2 linked regions of the Oryzias latipes genome follow. The main gene of each other region encodes a partner of the protein of the gene in region 2 in a complex. Links are inferred from orthologs where the notes say so. Each region holds a gene or a part of one and is shown on either strand. Other genes may lie near its edges. The genes, in order: thoc2 and THO complex subunit 4.

Evidence for each region.
Region 1: THO complex subunit 4 (region 2) and thoc2 share a complex: the UniProt entries of both Homo sapiens proteins name them as parts of the transcription/export (TREX) complex. The link is inferred for Oryzias latipes from reciprocal best matches to the Homo sapiens genes ALYREF and THOC2.

What each region holds. Positions count from the first base shown.
Region 1 is NC_019872.2:16,166,725-16,170,541, forward strand, and holds part of thoc2 (THO complex subunit 2), read right to left. Parts: intron 2,727-3,817; coding exon 2,605-2,726; intron 2,518-2,604; coding exon 2,384-2,517; intron 1,824-2,383; coding exon 1,663-1,823; intron 1,542-1,662; coding exon 1,449-1,541; intron 1,283-1,448; coding exon 1,127-1,282; intron 853-1,126; coding exon 680-852; intron 535-679; coding exon 339-534; intron 267-338; coding exon 228-266; intron 134-227; coding exon 3-133; intron 1-2. UniProt on the Homo sapiens protein: Component of the THO subcomplex of the TREX complex which is thought to couple mRNA transcription, processing and nuclear export, and which specifically associates with spliced mRNA and not with unspliced pre-mRNA.
Region 2 is NC_019866.2:15,369,791-15,374,284, reverse strand, and holds the start of THO complex subunit 4, read left to right. Parts: upstream 1-1,648; 5' UTR 1,649-1,795; coding exon 1,796-2,035; intron 2,036-3,385; coding exon 3,386-3,544; intron 3,545-3,629; coding exon 3,630-3,777; intron 3,778-3,871; coding exon 3,872-3,935; intron 3,936-4,026; coding exon 4,027-4,207; intron 4,208-4,290; coding exon 4,291-4,305; 3' UTR 4,306-4,494. UniProt on the Homo sapiens protein: Functions as an mRNA export adapter; component of the transcription/export (TREX) complex which is thought to couple mRNA transcription, processing and nuclear export, and specifically associates with spliced mRNA and not with unspliced pre-mRNA.

The sequences.
Region 1 (3,817 bases), on a different chromosome or scaffold from region 2:
ACCTGTGATGATAGGGAAAGAGTTTGAAGAGACCCCAGAGTTCCTCTGACATACAAGCATTACACTCCATCAAAGAGAGGGAGGGTAGCAGCACCTGGTCTGCAATGCTCAGGAAACAACTCAACAGTATTTCCTGCAATTATTATACGTAACATTAAGGTCACAACAAGTCGAACAGGTGTAGACGCTTGGAAAGACCATGAAAGGAATGCAACTGCTGCTCTCACCATCTTGTCTTTGACCTCAGGTCTGCTGTCACTTTGGTACTGAGGAGCAAGAACAGAGTCAACCTCTGATGCTGGAGCGCAGATGATGCTAAATGGTTTCAAGTTACAAACCTCCTTCATGAAAGCCTTTCCCAGTCGCACAATCTTAGCAAACAGGATGGGGTCATGGGAGAGATGGGGGCCCAAGTAGGACAGCATGCTGAACGTGTCCTTGCGCAGATCTTCAAAAGTCTCTGCAGGCCGTGGAGCCCGGCCGTTCCTCAGTGCAAGCATGGCACTCCCCCGCGCCCCTTTGGGAACGCCAACCCTGTGAAGAGGAGAGGCTAGTCTTAGAGCTTTGGTTTGCAGCTCTGAATCCACTCTTGGATTCTAGTCTTTCCATAAACAGTGTGTGTCTTATTGATGAACATAATGCATGTTATGGGCAACAAGTGGAAGATGAAAATCAGCACCTTCGGTAAAGAGGCTCCACAGTTAGGTGGACCAGTTGGCAGAGTGCCAAAGCGATGGTTTTGTGAGAAGCAGAATAAAAGGAGGGCATCTGGTCCATAATACTCTGGGCGTGTTGCCAGTCTCCAATTTTAAGTAGTGCTTCCAAGAGACCAAGCTTTTGATTATCAGGTGGCTGTGGGACAACATACAAAAGCAAAAGACATCAAGTAAAAAGAGGGATTAAAACAAAACAGATGCAAAACCAAACACAGATGCACCGATGTAGACAGCGATGCCTTTCTCAATTAGTTCTTATTGAAATGTCTGTTATTTAAGTTTCGAAAATGATATTTTCATTTTTCATCTTGTGAAAATGTTAGTAACAACATGTAAAGTTGGGTTGAGATTAGAACAAAACGTATAATTCTGTTTGACTTCATTCTAAATGAGAGAAAAAGCTCAAATACCTTTTCAAACTTCTCCTCCTCTTTCTCCTTCTCCTTCTCTCTGTCTTCACTTTTGTCCGAGGGAAGCACCACCATCACCAGTTTGCGTGCGATCTGCTTGGCCTCTGAGATTTCCCGTTTGTGTTCTTCAATAATAGTGACATCTAGTGGCATCAGCTGAAATTGCAGAAGTAACTTGAGGTCAGGGAGGGTTTATTTTTTTCTCGGTGCAAATTTACGCACAAAAAAAAAAAAACAATTTAAAAATGGTTTCATTGAAGGGATGGACATATGGAAAGCAGAAATTTGGAATGAATTAAATGATATGAAAATCTGCACTTACATGTACATAAAGGTCTTCCAGCTCTATTAAATTGTGGTGGAGCAGTGCAGCAGCAATGTGGTAAAGTGACTTGGGGGTTTCCTCATTGGGCTCCTGAACAAATACAAAAGTCAATCAATGAGAACTTAGACTAAAACAATGAAGATAGTATGATTATTAGAAAAAACACTCAAATACATGCCTGTATTTAAATATGAACTTTGGGTGTTCTCACCTGGTAGAATTTAAACTTGAAGCCCAAAATGTGGCAGAGAGTGAGTGGCTCACACATGTAGGACTTAATGAGCGACAAGAAAAACTCGTCTTGATCGGAGCGACTTTCATAAATCTCAAGGATGATGTCCAAAACCCGGTTAGGGTCCAGGTTGAAGCAGCCTACAGGGGAGGGAAAAAAAAGATTATCCCTGAGGTCACGGTTGTAGTTTTTACACAAAGCATCCTATGACATGTTTTTCATTGAAATTCTATTGGATCCATTTCATACTCTGCTGTTCTACAGCGTGTTTACAGCTGTAAATTTGTTTGTAATCAGTAAAGTTTGGGATCCAGCCACAATGATTTCTAGCACCAAAAATGACTTAATCTGGAACTGACATGGACCCCATTTCAGTTTGAAAACAGTCGAATAGGAAATAACTGAACTTTTCTGAGCTATTAATGTGAAGCAATATCTTTTAATAAATAATTAGAATTGTATTTTTATGTATAAATAGTATTATGTAACGATATATAATAATTTGCTTCTAAAATGTCTTTTTATAACTAAAACACAAGACACCAATAACTTGCTGTGAAAAAGCCAAACTAAGAAATTGTGGCACAGAAATCCCTAATACTAAGAAAATTCACTATTACACATTTTCAATAAACACAATAATCATATTTGAGATAAGAAAGTTTGAGGTAGTGATGCAGAAAAATGACTCTTTATATACCTATGAGAGACTTTATGTTCTCCAAGACGAGGTGGCTGGTGATGTTGCCTGACAGGTCTTGGCCAAGCTCGGTTATTAATTTAGCGTAACCTTCGTTCTCCTCTCGTAGCAAGTTGAACTTCTGTTGCTTGTAACTAAAAAAAAAAAAAAAAGAAAGTTATAGAAAAGTCAGACAGGCATTAGACAGCAAGAGTACTATGTTGAAGCATGTTTGCACTTACAAAAGTTTAGTCTTGATTTTTACAATCTTCTGGTTAAACTGGTGAGCTTGTTTAATCAATCCCAGAGATTCCAGTGTCTCGGGATCCAGCCTCTCCTTCAAGATGGCCTCAGGTATCAGACTCTGATGAAGTAAAAGCGGCAGATTTATGGGAATTACTCACAGAAAGAGGTCAATAACCCCAAAAATATAATCAAACATAATATCATTAGAATCCTGAATAACCCTGACCTTTCATCAATAGTTGCCAATAAACTCAAATTCATTAAAAAATTGGGGACTTTAAATTGTGCTTGAGTGTGAATGTGAGTGGTTGTATGTTTCTGTAAAGCACTGTGATAGACAGGCAAACCATCCAGGGGGTACTACGCAACAGTGGCTGGGATAGGCTCCAGCAACCCAGTGAAACCAAAAAGAATCAAGCAGAAAATAAATGGATGGCAATTTGATTTGGTATCCATGCTTCCTGTCTTTCTACTTTACCTCATTATTGGAACAAACATCTTGAGCTCGAGTAGCAGTTGTTTTTGTCAAAAACCCCACTAACTGAATTACAACTTAAGCAGGATTTACACGGAACAAATTCAAGTTTGTCTGCATCAAGAGGGTTCATCATTATCAGTGACAGTTAGGCCTACATTTGAAAGAAGAAAGGGACATTTATTATTTAATTTTGCAGCTGAGAACAATTTCAGCATCTTTTGCAAATAAATCATTTTTGTAACAATGTTGCTATATTAATTTTATTTGCTTTATATATCTTTTAACGCATCAAGAATCAACTGTTTAGTTTTCCATACAAATGCAGGTCACAAGATGCTGGAGCCAGCCCAGAAACTGTTGGGCGAAGGTGGGGTACGCCCCAAGCATGTCGCCAGTCTGTTGTAGTGCCACACGCTCACATGGGGACAATTTAGGGATACCTTTTAACCAATGACGCATGGACGGTGGGAGGAAGCCGGCGTGTCCAGAGAAGACCCACACATGCACGGGGAGAACATGCAAACTCCACCCAGAAAGGTCCCCGCCAGGATTTCAACCCTTCTTGCTGTGAGGCAAGAGGGCTAACCACTGTTCCACTATGCAGCGCCTTACCAAATCATAGTCTAGAGTTAGACATGAGATTTTCTGTTTCTGCCTAGAGCTGGGTGAAATGCTCAAAAATTTAAATCTCAGATTTTGTCATTAAAAATTCAATTTTCAAATTTTTTTCC
Region 2 (4,494 bases):
TTTTTTTTAAATCCTCAACAAGAACCAAAAGGATTTGGATTTCAGGGAGTTCAGATTCTTCCCACTTTCTCTGCATTTTTAGTTCACAGTTTTCATCAAAAGTTTCAATGAAGGTTTTGTGGTTAAGGCACAAAAAACGAGGACACAAGACTTAAACCCTCTACTACCAAATGTACCCTGATGACTTTGAAAGAAAATATGAAAGGGCTGACTTCTGTTTTTATTTTTTGGAAAACCAATTGATAAACAGTAGAATGATCTCAATGGATATCCTCTTAGTGGGCTTGTTTTGGAAACCAAAATACAATGTGGAAGGCCAACATTTTTTTTATTATTATTATTATTATTATACATTTTTCTTGCCCTGGGATGGACATTGTTGAGTAGTGAATGCAGGAATGCAGCTCTTATCTCCTTCCTCTAAGCCTTGGAAGCAAAATGTTGAATAAAAGACTTTTACAGAACTTCTGCTTGGTTTGACACTCATGTATGTTTGTTATAATACAATGAACAGTAATCAGTGTTAGGCTGTTTTTTTCCTCGGAACAAACGTTAGCTAAAAGTATGGAAAACGATCATAAATAAGAGGTTAAAAACTCCCCAGTATATCCCCCACCCCACTAAAATTCAGCTATTTTTAAATATACATAACTGTATTTGTAGTTTAGCTTTACAGATTGATTATATCTTTGATTTTCACTTTTTTTACACCCACAATTATTAGGAAAGTAATTCTTTTGCTTTTTTTATTAATAACAGCAATACCAGTTTTTTGTTATTTCTTTATAATAACGTGCAATTAACAGAGGTAGAGTTTACAGACAAACAGAGCCATGTAGCTCAGAAACAATCAATGTAGGAAAGGTTTCAATAAAAGAACAAGAGGGAAACTTTCTTTTTTGTTTGTTTTCTAATTAGGTGAAGAAGTTGTTGGTCTTAAAAATACTACTACCTTCAAATCAAAACAATAGAGTTGCATTTATATTTGTTATTTACATATTTCAAATGAATGTGAAGGAAGAATACAATCATGCATTCTCGTGCAGGGTGCTTTTTTAATCCTTATTGTAGTATGAAGAAGAGCAAAATTTTGAATAATACTTTGAATTGCTATCTTTTTATGCAAAATTAATCTTTTGAGATCAAATTAATTTCAACTTCTTAGCAGATTTGCTGACGTGTCTCATCAAAAAGAGATCCAATTTGTATTTATAATATGCATATTGAGAGTTCAGGGTGTTGTCCAATTTAAGCATTCATTATAATAACGTTTCTTGATCAAACTAAGAAAGTTTTCTTTAGGTCATAGTCACATCTAAATAAAAAATCAATTCAATACAAATTTCATTTGAAATATGAAACCACATTTTTGTTTGTTTAAAGAAGTGCCTTAGCCTATTTGTTTTCAATGTAATTTAAAGTCTAAAAGTATTTTTTTTTATGTTATTCAGTTTCGTTATAGAGATATAGTTAAAAGTGTTTGATTTAATGCTTTGATTGCTTCTTTTAGTGTTACTATGAACTGAACACACCCATGTATGGCGTTTTTTAGGAATAATGTTTTAGTTTCCAGTAGAGGGCGGTAAAGAGTTGTTGTAGTTTTTAACGTAATGACGTCAAGAGTACGTGTTCTCCAACCAATCAGCTTTTCTACAGCTTGTGGGCGCTTTTCATTGTGCTTAGTACTTGGACCAGAGAGCGTAAATCTACGGACGAAGAGAGGGAACAGCTTAGTCCAGGGTGTTTTAAGACAATTTAAATCTTTACAGTGCTTTAGAGTTATCGGGGCAGCATAATGGCGGATAAGATGGATATGTCTCTAGACGACATTATCAAGCTGAACAGGCAGAGTAGAGGCGGAGCCCGTGGGGGAAGAGGCCGAGGCCGCGGAGGCTCAGGCGGTGCCCGTGGAGGAGGCCTTGGGCGTCTTGGTGGTGGCGGCGGCGGATTTGGAGGCCGAGGCGGAGGATCAGGCCCCATGAGGACCCGACAGAACCTGAGCCGCGCTAGAGGCAGACCAACGCCTTATAGCAGGGTATGAGAAAGTTAGACGAATGGGCATTGGAAGGAAAAAAACCTTCGTCAAAGCTGAAAATTCCTGGTTTACGTCTTCTTTTCTCCATTTGGCTTGACGGCTAATCACCTAGCTAGTCAAGCCATTAAAATGGTTGCTTACCGCTGAGTTTCCCTTAGAGGAGAGCTCTATAGTTTGTGGATAAGCATAAATGGAGGTTGTTTGCATAATATGTCCCTTCTCCCACAACCTATATGTGTCGCACCACTTTTCAAGAAGAAGCTGCTTGAGGAGCGACTATGTTAGCCACATTGGCTAACCTGCCGGATCGTGAAGGTCTCAGCGCCATTTTGAATCCAACAACCTCGAATACAATTTGGCGTCAAAATGATGTTTTACCCCAAGTGTCGTAATGGTCTGGAAAGAAAAGGATGCCTACATCGCTGAGAAGGTTCCTGCACGTTTTTTCCATTGCTACGGAATCACATTCCTTCCAACGTCCTGCTACATCTTCAAGGCGGCCTTTTGTCCCAGGAATGGCTGACGGGGTTTCTTAAAATCCCACCCAAAAGGCTTTTCACCAAATGTCACATATGGATGGATACGTGGACTCATACTTAATCCCCTCAAATTTCCTTTATTTTTTTTTTTTTTTTTGTAAAAAGAAGCCCAATCTTCACTCCTGGGGTGTGAATGAATATAAATGCAACCCAAACAAAGCCCCGATCAAAATGGCGTGGTTTCAAAATGGACGTCCGCGTACTCCACGCACTAAAAAGGGGGCTATCGGCTTCTTTCCCCCCAAAATGTTCTTCACCTGTAACATCCTAAAGACATTTCTTCATGAAAGTCGAATTGTGGCCTGACAAAGGACTGTTGTGAGCCTGGACAAGCGGCGCAACGCGGGATGCGAGGCTGCTTCTGCCGGGGACCCCCCCTCGTGTGCCTGAGGAGCATGTCGACAGACAGAGCAGTTGGTGGAGTAGCAGATGGCAAGAAACGACGGGGTTATGCTAGCTAGTTTGGGGCGGATTTTTGGTTCATGTAAAGATTTTTTAAAGTTAATGTATGAAAATGATTAGTTTAAATATCTGTCAGCTTTTTGTCTTACTTTACAAGTAGTAAAACATTGAAATTTTCTGTATCAAAACACCAAAATAGCTATTTTTAAATTTGTGTATTTCTGTCTGAAGTGATTCACGTGATTGTAACGATGGGGTGGGCAGGGATCATGGGGGGGTCTGCTGAGCACCCTGGCCGTGTTGGAAGTGGAGCACCTGCTTGCACCAACACCCAGCCGTGTGGACTCTGTGAAAGACAGAGGCAGGGGATCCTGAAGTCAGCAGGTGCGTTCTCTTTCGTCTGTTGCAGCCCAAACAGCTTCCCGATAAATGGCAGCACGACATGTTTGACAACGGCTTCAGCGGCTTCAATGGGGCTGCTGGAGGTGGCGGAGGAGCTGGTGTGGAAACGGGAGGAAAGCTCCTCGTCTCCAATCTGGACTTTGGGGTGTCAGACGCAGACATCCAGGTACAACTTAGCTAGCATATCTGATGGTGATGTTTTTTTTTTTTAATTGATGACTTAGTTTTGACTTTTTTTTTTTTTATCGAAGGAACTCTTTGCTGAATTTGGGACTCTAAAGAAAGCTGCAGTTCATTACGACAGATCAGGAAGAAGCCTTGGAACGGCAGATGTCCACTTTGAAAGGAGGGCAGATGCCCTGAAAGCCATGAAACAGTACAATGGCATTCCTCTTGATGGTATTCTTCTACTTTATTACAGATTTATTTAATTAGATAAATACATTTAAATATTAGTTGATCTTCCCAAGATTAAAGCCTAATTTGTGTTTAGGGCGGCCTATGAACATTCAGCTCGTCACATCACAGATCGACACACAGAGGCGGCCTATGCAGGGGTAAGTAAGCATGGATTCTTGGGAAACTGGAAACAGGCTGTTGTGTAAACCCCAATTACATTTTCTTTGTGTATTTGTTTTGTTTTACCAGTATGAACAGAGGTGGTGGAGGCATGAGTAGAAATCGGGGTTTCGGAGGGATGCAAAGAGGCCGAGGGGTCCGTGGTGCAGGTGGTCCCAGAGGAAGAGGGCGGGGGGGGCGCGGCGGTGCCCCCAAGCAACCGCTATCGGCAGAAGAGCTTGACGCCCAGTTAGATGCTTACAATGCCAGGGTACATCTGTCAAAATAGAAAGCATCTTCTGTTGAAGTTGTTTTGCAGCTGTCCTAATTCTGTTTCACCTCTTGTTTTCTCAGATGGATACCAGTTAAGGAAACCTCCCATCCTAGTTGACGTCATCCCTCCCTGTCTGCACAGAAAGGGGTGCTTGTTACAGATGTGCAGAATATTTTACACTTGTCTTCTGATGTGATTGAAATTGTTCCAACCTCTTCTTTTAAATACTCCAAAGTGTTTTTTACCAAGTGTTTTATTTTTGTTTTAATTTTTTTTTTTTTTTT